2 linked regions of the Nothobranchius furzeri genome follow. The protein of the gene in region 2 purifies or fractionates together with the protein of the main gene of each other region. This does not show direct contact. Links are inferred from orthologs where the notes say so. Each region holds a gene or a part of one and is shown on either strand. Other genes may lie near its edges.

Region 1 (7,087 bases), about 26 Mb from region 2:
TGTCTCTTTTACTAGATGTTGCTAAGCAACATTTGTGTTTTTGGTGATCAAATCAGACCACAAAAAAGACAGAATTAGGGATGTCCCGATACGACACCGATTTCAATACGATACCAGCACAAATCATACTTTTACCTATTCCGTAGTGTGGAATGTATGAAAGGCTTGATGAAGTGATATTACTCAATCGGAGAACAAGAGCCAATAACAGTAAGTATGAAAAAAAATTTGACCCTTTTTTTAAACCACTGGTCGCAAAAATGTGAACCTTAACAAACTGCTTATATTGGAGATTTATGATGCAGTCCGATATAATCCAATAGTGTTTTTGGGCCGATAATGAATTGCTTCTGATATCGGAATGGGACATCCCTAGACAGAATACTAGTGATGCACCGATATCATATATCGGCGATATGAAATTTTTTGTGCCGATACCGATATTGGTCGATATCGATATACTGGCATTAATGCTTCTAAAATCAGCAGATTTTGTATAGAATGAAAATTATAAATTATTAAAGCTGGATTTACATTATTATGTACACACACCACACACATTTATGGTTCTGAAATGATTTCATTCACTGTTCACAAGACTAAATTACACATCACCCTCTGAAACAGGCAAACAAATGGGGACAAGATGGAAAAATATCGGTTGTTAATATTGGCCTGGTTTTCTTTATTGAACAGATATGTTAAAAAATAGCTAACATCAGCCGATACCGTTATATTGTCCATCCCTACAGAATACCCAATTACACAAAACTTGACAAAAAAAATTTTTTTTAAAATAATCATCAAACGAGGACGTTTGAAGTAACGGGTGTAAATAAAGATCTGGATCGGAGTTAAGAGAAAACAAGCACTTATATCGTTTGAAGAACATATTCATGGGGCTTTGGGACATTCTGACGTGTTTCTGTGTAACACATCAGTTTTTATCTTACTTCTTGTAGACAGCTTCCTGAAGAGCCTCAGTTTGAAGAAAGTGTTTACGTTTTAACTAATGATGTGCTAAAGCTAATCCAAACACAAGTGGATCGCTAACGTCTCCAAGCTCCTCTTATAAACTACATTTCAAATCAGTTCACATGAATAATTATAGCTGTACAATACAAAATAAGTTGCCTTTTTAAACACTTATTTTATTTATAGTAATGTTTACAGTGAGCGCATTTTAGGCTGAGTGTTATGGAGAGCTGCGGCGAAGAGGTCGGCTGCCAATCAGAATTTGTAGCAGAACTATAAACTATGTGTAATATTTGCAAAAACAACAACTTTTCTGGTTTTGCCTGACCCAAACTTCTAATAATGACCTAAAAACAGAGAGGACATTTTTTCCAGTTGATTCAACCTCAAGAGTTAAGAATTCTGCTGAGGGGTGAAAATCTGTTTAAGGGGTGCGGGAAAAGCATCAATTTCAATGTAGCTAACGCATTTAGCAGCAAAATAAGAATAATGTTTAATGAAACATATTTACCAGAATGAGTTCAAACAAGGTGCCTTGGTCCACTTTGAGGAACTCCTGGTCCCAGACGGGAATGTCGTCCGTCCTTTTCTCTTTGTTCTCATCATCCTCGGGAGGAGGAGGATCATCTTTGTGATGAGTGCACCACTGAATCACCTAAAGGGGAAAACATGTTTATTCTTAACTGAAACTACATAATTTTATACATTCGTGTTAAGATTTACGCAGACAGAAACATGTGCACAACATTCCCCCGTGATGAAGGAATTTTGAGATCTTCTGCTGAGGTGCATCTACACGTACAGTTTTACCTTTATCTGGATTAAAGGAGCGTGTCAGTTGATTTGGCAGGACAGAACATAACAAAGACAGACTGAGCATCCTCTTAATAAGTTATATAGGGCTGCCATGATTAGTCGACTCGTCACAACATCAACAAACAAAATACTCGACTACTAATTTAATAGTGGATGCATTATTTATTCTGTGACCATTAATTTTAATCTCGCCTGCTGCGGCACATTCGGCGGTTGCTTCCTGACTTTCTGCTCAATGCACATGCGCATTAGTCCCCATCCGGGTCAGTGGCTGTTTTCAGCTCCGAGGCGCATTCGCAGTAGTGGCCATCCAGATCAGCCTTCGTCACCGGAGAAAGAAGACATAGCGAGTCGGCAACATAGCTCAAAAGTTTTGGAGTATTATACATAGACTAAGGAAAGCACATAGTGCAAACTCTGCAAAGGGAAACTCTCCTTTCACGGGAGCACATCGGCGATGCATGAGCACCTTACAAGGAAGCACGTCATGGCAGAGAATAAAGAGTCGCCTCTCTAAGTTTACCTCTTTAGCTGCTAGCATCAACAGAGAGTTACTTGTAGTTATAGGTGTAGCAACAGCAGTAGCGGTGGCTATTTTTATTACCATTAGATCACGTTTGTATGTCACGTATTTTTGCTCCAATTACAAACGATAATGATTTCATCCCGCTACGCTACAGTGTTAATAAAAATGCTCCTCTTCAATGGACGAGTTGGTTACGTGAACACCTCAGCAAGCTAACGTCCTGACCATGTTGGTCATGAGACTCCTGTCCATGGTCGGTGATCGAGGTTTCAAAAAGATGATCAAGGATACCACGACAACTACCTACCAGGCTGATGCCCATTCACCAGCATGATGGAAAAGAAATACGAAACAACCTTTAAGGTGTGCGCGCGTGTTCAAGTCTTAGTCTCTTTCTCTCTGGACACAAATAATTATTGGAATTTAATGTGTTTTATGATCAAATAAAAAGGTTGCTGACTGAGCAATCAGGAACCTAATATTGGTGCATAATACAGTTTACATGTGTTGAATTTTAATCTACTTTGTTTTATAACAGAATTATTAATTTGGTAAATAAACTAAATTTAATATCTTTACAATAAAGCAGACCCTCAAAGCTGTCGATGATCCCCTGACTGCTGACGGGTGTACCAGCCATGCTACAGAGGCGCACCTTGATGTGCCCTGCTATTTCCTGAGTTAAGATTAGAATACATTTTGCGAACACAAGTAATTTTTTGTAGACAATTTATTTTTGGTTTTAGGTGCCTACCTCCATTTGACTGTAGCATTTGTATTAATAAGTTATGAAGTTAATTAAAAGTTTATTATTAGATGGCACATAACGGATTAAACTTCAAACTAGAAGCTAATGATGGGTATATTAGAGCAGCCTGGTGCAATAACCTATAGTTTTTTTTTTGAATGACACGATTAGTCAACTATTGCGGTATACCCAACTGTCACGGTGAAATCCAGAAATCAAATAAAAACCAATCACTTTTCTCCCATCGACTGATGTGAAACAAATCTGATGACTCTGCTGTTGTCATTGTGACAGCTGTGCGTTCTGTACCTTCTTCAGGATAGCCGCGTTCACATTAGGAAGGGGAACTGGGTCATCATCTCCTTCATCGTCCATTCCCAAGTCTGACCACACACACAAAAAAAAAAAACGTTAAAATTCAGCCTCAACCCAAACGATCTTTACTGTTAATTAAAAAAACTGATAACTCTTTTTACGTCAGTTATAAACTCACAAAATCAAGTTTGAACGTTTGAAATGAACAGAACATTTTACCTTCCAACATGGTCTTGATGGTGACGGATTGTTTGGCTATCTCAACGTCTACCTCGAAAATTTCCCCATCAGAACTCTGTAGTTTTATCGTGGGCATTTTCTGGAATGAACAATAATATTCATTCAGTGCATTTACTGCTAATTTTGCGACAATAGCAGACGTAATCCGCGACGAATTGTCTCAATTACCAAACTAAGCTAGCAAACAACAAGCTAACGAAAAGCTAACATACAATTAGCTCTTTGTATAAACAAAAGCTATTGATTTGATAAATAATACCTATCATAAGACTTGCCAGATGCACTTGTGTGTTCATACTGAATAAATACCACCTGTTGTAAATCTAATTTATTTGAGAAGCGCTAATGCCCAAGCTAACGATGACACAAGCTACAAGACGGAAATGCTAAAGTTAGCTAGTTTCCGTGTGCTTAAAAGAAAAATACATTGAAAGATGTTCGCTATTACAAATAATGGTAAACAAATACATGTTAATCACAGGCGAGACAATCAATTGTGTCTAAAATGTATGTCACAAAGCTTAAATCTTGACTCTTCGTTTCGCCAGCTCTTTGCTGTCAGCTAGGCCTCTTTGCTACATCATCGAGGCGTTTCAAATTGACGCATAAACCTGACGTGAAAATCTATTTAAACCTAACTTTATCAGGTCACCAGAACATGAAGCTACATACCGTGATTATTTAACAAAAACTCAAAGGTTATATATCCTTAGGAGTCCGTTGGAAGGCCTAGACTTTAAGTGACGAACAGCGGCTAAAAGCCTCTGGATCAACCTTTTCCGCTGTATGGCAATCCGTTGTAACATATAATCATGTTAATGCCCTACAATTTTTTTATTTGTTCTAAACAAAACAGCATTTTCATTAATTACATTTAAAATGTCTGTACAAGTTAAACCGTGATATTATTTAATTCTTGCAGAATACATTATAAAGTAAGGTGATCAAAACGTGCCAAACATAAGCTATTAAACGTAAATACGTATATGTCGATGGTAAATACCAGTTGTCTTGTCCCACAGTGTATATTTAGTAAGGTAGATACTTAACAACACTTAAAAGCAAGCAAGTGCCGATTTCCTTTAAACAACCCCAGTACAATTCCGATTTTATATGATAAATTGGCTTCCCTTAACAACATGTGCTAATGAAGGGAGCACAGCAGGGCCGAGCTCAAATCGTGGCGGTGGCTACCAGTCAGCATCGCTTCTTGTTTACCTAGCTCAGATTTTATTTTGATTGTCTCATCTCGAACCACTTTGATTTTAAATCAGAATTTGTGTTATAAAAAGACAAATACTTTGTCTACATGGAACAAATAAGCTCTTTTGTGATAACAGTGACTTGTCTTGTGCTATTCTATTTTTTTTAATAAAAATAAAATGATCACTTTCTATGTGTATCTTTCATTATAAATCTCTCTGTCAGTGTACCAATAACAATTTAAAGTACATGACTCCTTTTGACAACAGACTACACAAATCATTCATTTATTGTATATGGCATGGTGGTGCGGTAAGAAAAATTTATGTCATATATCAAATACAAAATAATATTTAAAAATATTAAATTTAAATATATTTATTTTTGAAAATGTGTAAGTCTAATTTATTAGTTACACTTTGTGAAGAGATAACAGGAAGCACTAGGGTCAGTGCCTGCGATTGTCTATGTGTGGTGTCGTGCCTATTCACAACCACAGGGTGGCGTATTTCCCCTTTTTTCCGGCAGATGCGACTTGTTTCCAGCAGGATCCAGGCTGGCTTAGATTGCTCTGGAAAAACTTAATAAAATTGCATTTATGCGCCTTTTATTTGAAATAACACAATTCTCAACATTAAGTTTGCTTGTTTTGGGCAATTGATACTTCTGTTCTCAATACAATCTAATATTATGGAGCACAATAATTTAAATTCACATTTAAATAAATGTATTTTTTATGTCTTCGCCTTGCTGTGTCAGTGTAATTACAACTGGCCAGAGAAATCCAAATATAACTAGACTTTTTACAAGAATGAAGAATAACCAAAAACACAATTCAAGAAGTCATCTTTATTATTCTAGTAGGTTATTATAGAGTCTGAAGCTAAAAGGAAGCAGGTGAGTTGATGAACACTCCATCTTTTCTATAAACCAAGCCATCTGACTGCATGAGAAGGGATTTTCCTAAAACATACACAGGTCAAAAAAAACTGAAGGTTTACATGCAATTTAAAAATAAACAACAAAAAAACTATCAATATCGTGAAATCGTATTAATCTTTTTGACATATTTAACATTTCTTTAACTGTACAAAAGTGCAAACAAATCACATTCAAATCTCAAAAACCATGGTCTGCAGTAGCAAATTAGTCTTGGACTTTGGTGCCGTCAACCCAGCTCCATATGTACAGGAGGAGGAGCCGAGACATCCAGGATGTTCTATTTTGTCATTTCAGATACAATAAATATTTAAGTGATCATGGCACACACCTTTTGGTCCGTTTATAGACACATTTGCTTTTGCGAAATGCTTTAACTAGATTGGATAAACACAACGTGCAACACTGCAGCCTCTCAGGCCTCCATCACGTTGTTTTCAGTTCAAAGTCAGATAGGTTGGTGGTTCTGGACAGGACCGGACCGGACCGTGCGCGGGTCGAGACTGCAGGTTTACAAGAAGTAGTCTGGGGTGCGGCGAGTTACATGGGGCTCTCCTCTGCGAGGCGCTGGATCAAACTGCAAGCTGAGGAGGAACATCAGGAAGAAAAAAAATCACAACTTATTCTAAGATTTCTTTGTCCACTCGTGATGAAATTCGCCTGCTTACAAAGAGTATTTGAGGGTGTCGTCTAGCTCCATGATGGCTGCCTGGTTTCCACAGCGATAGCAGTAGTTAGGAGCACTAAAAATGGTCACCACGTTCCTCTCATGGCACCAGTTGTAGCCCTGAGGTAAGCAGATGTAATATTAACACGCATCTGAACTTAGCGGCACTGCTTCTTTGTTTTTAATCATCTTTGGACACAAAGACAAACCTCCATGACCAGCTGATGGGCGCGGGACACCAGCGTGAGGCGGTTGGCGTGGTTGAACGTTTCAGAGATGTCCTGACCAAATGTGTAGCCAGCTCCTCGGGGAGAGATGCCCCAGCCGCCGCGGTCGTCGGGGTCTGACCACAGCAGGTCGCACATGGGACCCTGCGTGACAACGAGAATGGTCACAAACGTTTTTATCTTTATTGTTTCGTTGCTGATCTGCACCACATTTAACGTCTTTCTTTACCTCGTGCGGCACTTCCTGTAAACGATCCAGAGCTCTGATGTGATCCAGCGTGTCTATAGACGGTGATAAGCCCCCGTGGAGGCAGAAAATCTGAGGAAAAAAAATCGATAATTATAACAAATTATGATGCTTTTCAAAGAAACGTCAAGTTCGGTCTTTTTTATTACGCTCCTCTCACCTGAGAGTCTACCAGCGCAGTGAG
Region 2 (7,323 bases):
AAGAACTGCACATCAAACCAGGCGATCAGTAACATTGGAGCACCACAGGGGACTGTACTCTCACCATTCCTTTTCACCCTGTACACCTCAGACTTCCAGTACAAATCAGAGACCTGTCATCTACAGAAACACTCAGATGACTCTGCAGTTGTTGGGTGTATCAGAGATGGACAGGAAGCTGAGTACAGAGAGCTGGTGGAGCGCTTTGTGGCATGGTGTGGAAACAATCATCTGACCTTGAACGTGAACAAAACAAAGGAGATGATTTTAGACTTCAGAAGAAACAGGGTGGAGTCAAACACTGTTTCCATCATGGGAGAAGAAGTGGAGGTGGCTGAGGAATACAAACACCTTGGAGTTCACCTGGACAACAGACTGGACTGGAGAAAGAACAGCGAAGCCGTTTACAAGAAGGGACACAGCAGACTGCACTTCTTGAGGACGCTTAGGTCCTTCAATGTCTGTAGCAAGATGCTGCAGATCTTCTACAAGTCTGTTGTTGAGAGTGTAATCTCTTCAGCCATCGTCTGTTGGGGTAGCAGCATCAGAAGCAGGGACCTGAAAAGGCTCAACAGCCTAATAACAAAGGCTGGTTCTGTTCTGGGGACGACTGTGGAACCGCTGGAGGAGATCATGCAAAGAAGGATTCTCCAGAGAATCAAGAACATGATGGACAACCCTGAGCGTTCTCTTCACAAGACTGTCCGACAACGGAAGAGTGTCTTCAGTCAGAGGCTTCTTCAGTTTGGCTGCAACACTGACCGCTACTGCAGATCCTTCCTGCCAACAGCCATTGTAATATACAACAACTCTTTGATGACTTGATTATTATTATTATTCTGAGCTACTACAGCAATCAGTTTCCCTCTGGAATCAATAAAGTATTTTTGAATTGAACTGAAATGAATTATCACCATTCAATTCCTTATTAATATGTTTCATTACCTGTAGGAAGAAGAGACGCTGAGTGATTTCTTGTACGAGCTCCTCCTCAATATTCTCAGGGTAAAACTTGACCAGAAAGAAGAACGTGATGGGCTCCTCGTTGGGCACTTCCTGATCTAAAATCTGAAACAGTGAAGAAAAGGTTTCTCCACAATAAATGTTTTGGTTCTAGCAAATGTAAGAAATGCTCACTCATGTTGTACGACAAGTAAAACACTGGATCGACCTTCTTTTCCATCTTTAGCCAAGCCACGGTGTCTTTTATTGTGTACTGCAGGCCAAAGAACCACGTTTCCCATAATCCTAGACTCCTGCACACCAAGTCAAACAGGTCTTTTCCTTTCCATTTGACCTAAAAGATGCATTAATCATAAATAATGGCCATTAAAAATGATAAATGCAACCACGTTAAAGGTCCAAGGAAATAATGTTGGTGAATCCTCTCATACAAACTGAATACTTTATATTTGAATTGGCTTTTAATCATGCAGCACATTTCATTTAAAAATAAATACATATTATTTACTAAACCAGTAGTAAATCCTCCTTCCAACACTGAAAATAGAAATCAGTAACTAACATTATGAAGCTGTTTGCAATTACCAAACCCAAGCGATAATCAAGGAGCGGTTCCTCCCTTTTAAATACAGACATGGTGCTTGCAAGTCACTCAGTCCTACCACATAACACATCTATATAGTAGATGTACAAACAAGGAGTAAATGTATCTAATAAATTTCTAAATGACCCTATATTTACAGATATATTTTAATAATACTACAAAAAAGAAGAAAAACAAAGCATTTTTTAAAAGCATGTTCAGGTGATGCTCTGTTATTTGCTGCCATCTAGCGTCAGTGAGCGAGAACTGCAGGTTTAACATCCAGATTTCTCCTGCGTCGTATCTGTGGTTATGTGTAAACAAATGACTCAGTTAAAGACACAAAGCTGAAACACAATTCGGGGTTTCTAACTGAGGGTGGCAGAAAATATGCTCGCACGTGTTAAACTTACCTCGCAGTTGAACTCTTCCTCTGACTCCATGGTGCAGATCCTGACTCTGAAGTTCCTGGCTTGTTTTCTCAGCAGGGAGTTAAATCCCATTTTTGCTGCCAAGGCACTTGCCATTGCAATAAGTTCACAGATTTAACAAAATCAAGTACTTTCGATTCTCCCCTTTAAGCCGAAAGGTCAAGACATTTTTCCTCCCAGTTTCCTTAACAAGCTGAGACAGGCGATGGGAGAACTACTGGACATAAGTACAGATGTGCATGTGACGTTTCAGCACATTTAAATAACTGTAGTCATATCTCACTACATATTTTAAGCTTCTCCTAATGACTCATTACATTATTATTTACAATTAATTGTATTTTCCCTGGTTGAAACAAAAGCAGACGTTCACAAACACGTTTAGCAGAAGACCGCAGTGTCCTGGGCTGGTAGCTAACGATGAGTAAAAAGTAAATTAGCTTACTAAAGTTAGTCACTTCCAAAATAAAATGTCTGACTGTCTCTAATTTGACACGACTCCAAAGGAAAGGTCTTACTAATACACATGTAAGTGTATGAGAAACGTTTAACCCTTCAATCCACAGACTTCACGCGAAAAGCTAGGCGACCTGTGGCTAACAACTTGTAGCTATCTTAACCAAAACTGTGCTGCGTTCACGTGTTGTCTATTATGTAGTAATAAGTGTGTAAATGTTTAAAACTCACTTTGGGGATCAGAGTTTGTAACTTTTCTCAAAGGTTGTATAAAATGTTGCCACTATTATAAATTATAATGTTTGTCATTTTATAATGAGCTCGACAGATTTTAAAATAGTTTTTCAATTATCTGATCATTTTCTAGAGTAAGTAGATTGTCCTTACAAATCGTCATGGCTAAATACACCTAAATTAAGGGATGGATCAATGACTTGTTAATTACCTTTAACTTATTGTATGGCATTCTATCCTAAATTACTCTGTATATTTTGAAAATAATAAGATAGATACAATTTGTTTTTCTGCATTTACAAAAATTAGGTCAAAGGTTTACCCAGCTTTTTGTAAAATGAATTGCTTAGTTCCCAGGGACATTGAATGCATCATCAGCAGGAGCGTCCCACCATCGCCTTTCTCTCTAACTTAACAACCAATAATATTGCAGGTTGTGGCAGATGCCCCGCCCTTAGCCCAGCCCCTGCGCCATAAGGAGGCGGTGCCTAAGCGATGAGGTAATGGGGTAAACAGTAAAAATGGCGACGTCTGTAGCCCAAGAGGAGCAACCGATTCTAAACGGGAATATTTCCGAGCCCCAAACTAAAAAACTGACATATTTGCCGACCGAGTTGCTTGAACATATCTTGTGCTTCCCTGTCCTCACACACGTCGACATTTGTAACGTTTCCTGCTGCTGCAAACGACTGCACGACGTTAGCCATGGAAGGGGAAAGGTCTGGGAACACCAGTACAAACTAAGGTGCTCCGATTGTGTGAAAATCCATGCTAGTTCTGGTTTGTGTTGGTTTTTTATGGATTTAGTTAGATAACAATGTTGTTACTGATTTTACCCGTCCTGTTTAGGGCTCTAAAGCCCTTTAATGCCTACTTGACATGAGCTCGTTTCCTGCGAACTGAAACTGTCAGCGAATACATTCTGCTGATGCACCAGATTTATCCTTGAGCTAATCCGGGTACCGGGCATCCCTCTAGACACCCATGACACATGGAATAAAGCTTGCTAGTGACATATAATGTGTTTTTCTTTGAGTATTCAAAAGAAGCATCATCTTTGACCTTGAATCTCTGGGAACCGCACAGGCTCATTCACTGGCTGCTTGGTTTTTCTCTCAGCAAGGAGGCAGCTGCTTCTACAGCAGGAGGACGGACAGTTTTAAAGCGCTGCATGCACCGATTATGGCAGGAAGTGGCCTGATTCTCAGAACACCCTTGCATGTTTCTGAAATAACAAATCTGCTCTTTGCATCAACAGATGGCCGAGATTGCAGAGGTTTTACCGTCAGAACGAGAGCTGCGACTGGCTAAGGGAGTACAAAACACGCCACAGGGTCGGTATACAGATACGAAGGACTGTGGAGTCGATTTCAAAAAGATTTTTCACAGAAGTTGTAAGTAATATGTTTTCTCATTACATTGGAACTTGGTTAACTCTAATCAGATTACTCTGTAAGATGTGATATATTACATCCAGATGTTCCTGGTTGCCTCCAGTCTGTATGTGGGTGCATGCTTGTGCAGTAACATGTATTTTTAAATGTTGCAAACTAACCCAGAGATCTGTAACTCAGCCTTGCGTTGGCCAGGTGTTGGGAGACAGCTTTGCAGAGATTGAATCACTCGGGATGCCGGAGCACTTCTGCGAAGATGAGCTCCTCTTCATACTCAACTCCGACAAGAGGTGAGAGCAGTTTTGTGTGGCTATGAAAGCCTTTGTTGCATTGCGCCCTCTTTTCTGTATCATTAAAGTCCGTCTCTTTCTCCACCGTCTGTTAGGAAAAGCTTGACACTGAAATACTATGCAAGAAAAATCCTTTACTTCCTGAGACAGCAGAACATCTTGAGGAGTCTGAAGACCTTTCTGGAGCAGCCTGCAGAGCAACAATCAGCTCTGGAAGGTGATCCATCAGTACTGACCGTTTGCTGGGTTCTGCTGCACCTCAGCTCAGCTCAGCTACATCTTGTTTTACACACATGTGTCCTGTTTTTGTCTGTAGTATAAATATCTATTTTACAGAGATCTGAATGTATTATCCTGCAGTAATAATTACCATATGAAAATAATTTTAAAAAAGCTTAGAAGGAATGAAAATATGTTACATTGTTCGGGCATTTTCCTTTTTTATTACCACTTTTGATTGTTTTGTTTGCCTCTTTAGGTGCTGTGCTGGTGGATCAGTACTGTAACCCACTGGCAGACGTCACACTGGATGGTGTTTCAGTTCAATTAGATGAAATTATAGAAAAGGCAAAGAAGATGCTAAGAATCAAAAATCCATCTCATCCCAGTCTTCGCATCGCCAACGGTGAGATTATAAGATAATATAGGACAAGAAAAGATTTATTCTTTGTATATATGTGCCTTTTTTCAAAGATTTTTTATTTATTTATTTATTTTGCAGAAAGTTTATTGCATAACTAGACATTTAAAACATTAAGACCTGTGTTTGCACCTGCAGCAAAGTCTGAAACAGCCATGAATCTGCACAGATTTTTGTGTGAGCCATCTTTTAAGAGTTTAGTCTTGTGTGTGCTGTAGGTGACCATGTCATTGAGGACTTTGAGCTCCAGAGGCAGGTGCTGTTTGCTCTGAACTCGGTCTTGTATGAGCAGCTTCAGTACAAAGGCAACGAGTGTGACTATTACAACCCGCTCAATTCTTACATCCATCAGGTCAGCCTTAAACAGGTTTTTCACTAAATTATCAATAATGCATTTATTTTAAAACTATTTTCACTTCCTTTTTACTTAGGTGCTCCTTCGGCATACTGGCATTCCCATCAGCCTCTCTGTTCTTTACATGACCCTGGCCCGGAAGCTGGGCGTTCAGCTGGAGCCCGTCAACTTTCCCAATCACTTCCTGCTGCGCTGGTGCCAAAAACCAAGAAAGTATGACTGGATCTTTCTAAATTAAATTCACATTAGAATAGAATAGAAGTGGCCTTTATTTTCAGGAAGTTCAGACGTACCAGATACAGGTAATTACAGGCATGCATACCCACAGAAATATAAAAGAAAGATATAAAACCAGAAAAATAAGAGGAGGAAAAAACATCAACAGACTGTTTACACACCTGGAAACCCACACAGACACATGGTTGTTATTTTAGCATTTGCTAAAAGACAAAGTGTTGTTTTTTTTCATCTTTTGACTCAGTTTTGACATTTTAAAACGTATGTTTATGTATTTAGCAGACGCTTTTGTCCAAAGCGACTTACAAGTAATAATCGGCATATTGCCCTTGAGGCTAACAACAATAACCAATTTCCAGTCAGTCGTAGGTGGCAGTGAGGCAGCATGATGAATCATGGAGAGGAGGGAACAAGGAGTGGACAGTAGAGAGGGGGGACGGGTGCAGGGGGGGTGCTAGTTTAGAAGATGCTCTCTGAAGAGCAGGGTCTTCAGGAGTTTCTTGAAAATCAAAAAGGAAGCCGCTGTTCTGGTAGTGCTTGGAAGGTCATTCCACATTTGTGGAACGATGCATGAGAAGAGTCTGGATTGTCCTGAGCGTGGTGTAGGCACTGCTAGCCGACCATCCTGTGATGACCGGAGCGGCCGGGCCGAGACGTAAGCCTTTGCAAGAGGATTCAGGTAGATGGGAGCCGTACCATCTCGGACTTTGTATGCTAGTGTTAGCAATTTGAATTTGATGCGTGCTGCTAGCGGTAGCCAGTGGAGCTCAATGAACAGAGGGGTGACGTGTGCTCTTTTAGGCTGATTGAAGACCAGACGCGCCGCTGCGTTCTGGACCATTTGAAGAGGCCTGGAAGACCAGTTAGAAGGGCATTGCAGTAATGGAGGCGGGAGATGACAGTAGATTGCACCAGGAGCTGGGTGGCATGTTGTGTTAGGTATGGTCTGATCTTTCGTATGTTATACAGCGCAAAGCGGCATGAACGGGCAACAGAGGCAACATGATCTTTAAAGGTCAGGTGTTCATCAATCACAACACCCAGATTTCGAACTGCCTTTGAAGGAGCCAGAGATAGGAAGTCATTCTGGATTGAGATATTGTGTTGTATGGATGGTTTTGGTGGGATGACAAGTAGTTCAGTTTTAGAGAGGTTGAGTTGGAGATGGTGGGATTTCATCCATTTTGAGATGTCAGAGAGACAGTTTGATATTCGTGCAGAGACAGTGTGGTCGTCCGGTGGAAATGACAGATAGAGCTGGGTGTCGTCTGCATAGCAGTGGTAGGAGAAGCCATGTGATCGAATGATCTCACCCAGTGAGGTGGTGTATATGGCAAAGAGAAGAGGTCCTAGTACAGAGTCCTGGGGCACTCCTGTGGCAAGATGGTGCACGGTAGAGGATTGTCCAAGCCAAGATACACAGAATGATCGTCCTGTGAGGTAAGATTCAAACCAGGTGTGTGCTTTCTCTGTGATGTCCATGCTAGAGAGTGTGGACAAAAGGAAGCCATGGTTGACAGTGTCACATGCAGCTGATAAGTCGAGCAGGATAAGCACTGAGGATTTGCCAGTCGCTCTAGCTTCTTTTAAGGATTCAGTCACTGCTAACAGAGCAGTTTCAGTGGAGTGGCCCTTTTTGAACCCAGATTGGTAAGGGTCAAGCAGACAGTTTTGTGAGAGGTAGTCTGTGATCTGCTTGAAAGCCGCCTGCCTTTCAATGATTCTGGACAGAAAAGGGAG

What was found.
Region 1: the proteins of fbxo21 (region 2) and skp1 purify together in Homo sapiens (affinity purification with mass spectrometry; 6 studies listed by BioGRID and IntAct, with this or other methods). This does not show direct contact. The link is inferred for Nothobranchius furzeri from reciprocal best matches to the Homo sapiens genes FBXO21 and SKP1.

The regions. Positions count from the first base shown.
Region 1 is NC_091750.1:60,007,952-60,015,038, forward strand, and holds the start of skp1 (S-phase kinase-associated protein 1), read right to left. Parts: upstream 4,438-7,087; 5' UTR 4,293-4,437; intron 3,700-4,292; 5' UTR 3,697-3,699; coding exon 3,600-3,696; intron 3,449-3,599; coding exon 3,375-3,448; intron 1,631-3,374; coding exon 1,487-1,630; intron 1-1,486. Other genes in the region: ppp2cab (serine/threonine-protein phosphatase 2A catalytic subunit alpha isoform), read right to left, coding at 6,274-6,346, 6,431-6,549, 6,639-6,800, 6,886-6,975, 7,064-7,087. UniProt on the Homo sapiens protein: Essential component of the SCF (SKP1-CUL1-F-box protein) ubiquitin ligase complex, which mediates the ubiquitination of proteins involved in cell cycle progression, signal transduction and transcription.
Region 2 is NC_091750.1:34,029,120-34,036,442, forward strand, and holds the start of fbxo21 (F-box only protein 21), read left to right. Parts: upstream 1-3,143; 5' UTR 3,144-3,188; coding exon 3,189-3,412; intron 3,413-3,925; coding exon 3,926-4,061; intron 4,062-4,241; coding exon 4,242-4,351; intron 4,352-4,446; coding exon 4,447-4,568; intron 4,569-4,829; coding exon 4,830-4,976; intron 4,977-5,209; coding exon 5,210-5,343; intron 5,344-5,422; coding exon 5,423-5,559; intron 5,560-7,323. Other genes in the region: nf2a (NF2, moesin-ezrin-radixin like (MERLIN) tumor suppressor a), read right to left, coding at 946-1,068, 1,172-1,297, 1,960-2,073. UniProt on the Homo sapiens protein: Substrate-recognition component of the SCF (SKP1-CUL1-F-box protein)-type E3 ubiquitin ligase complex.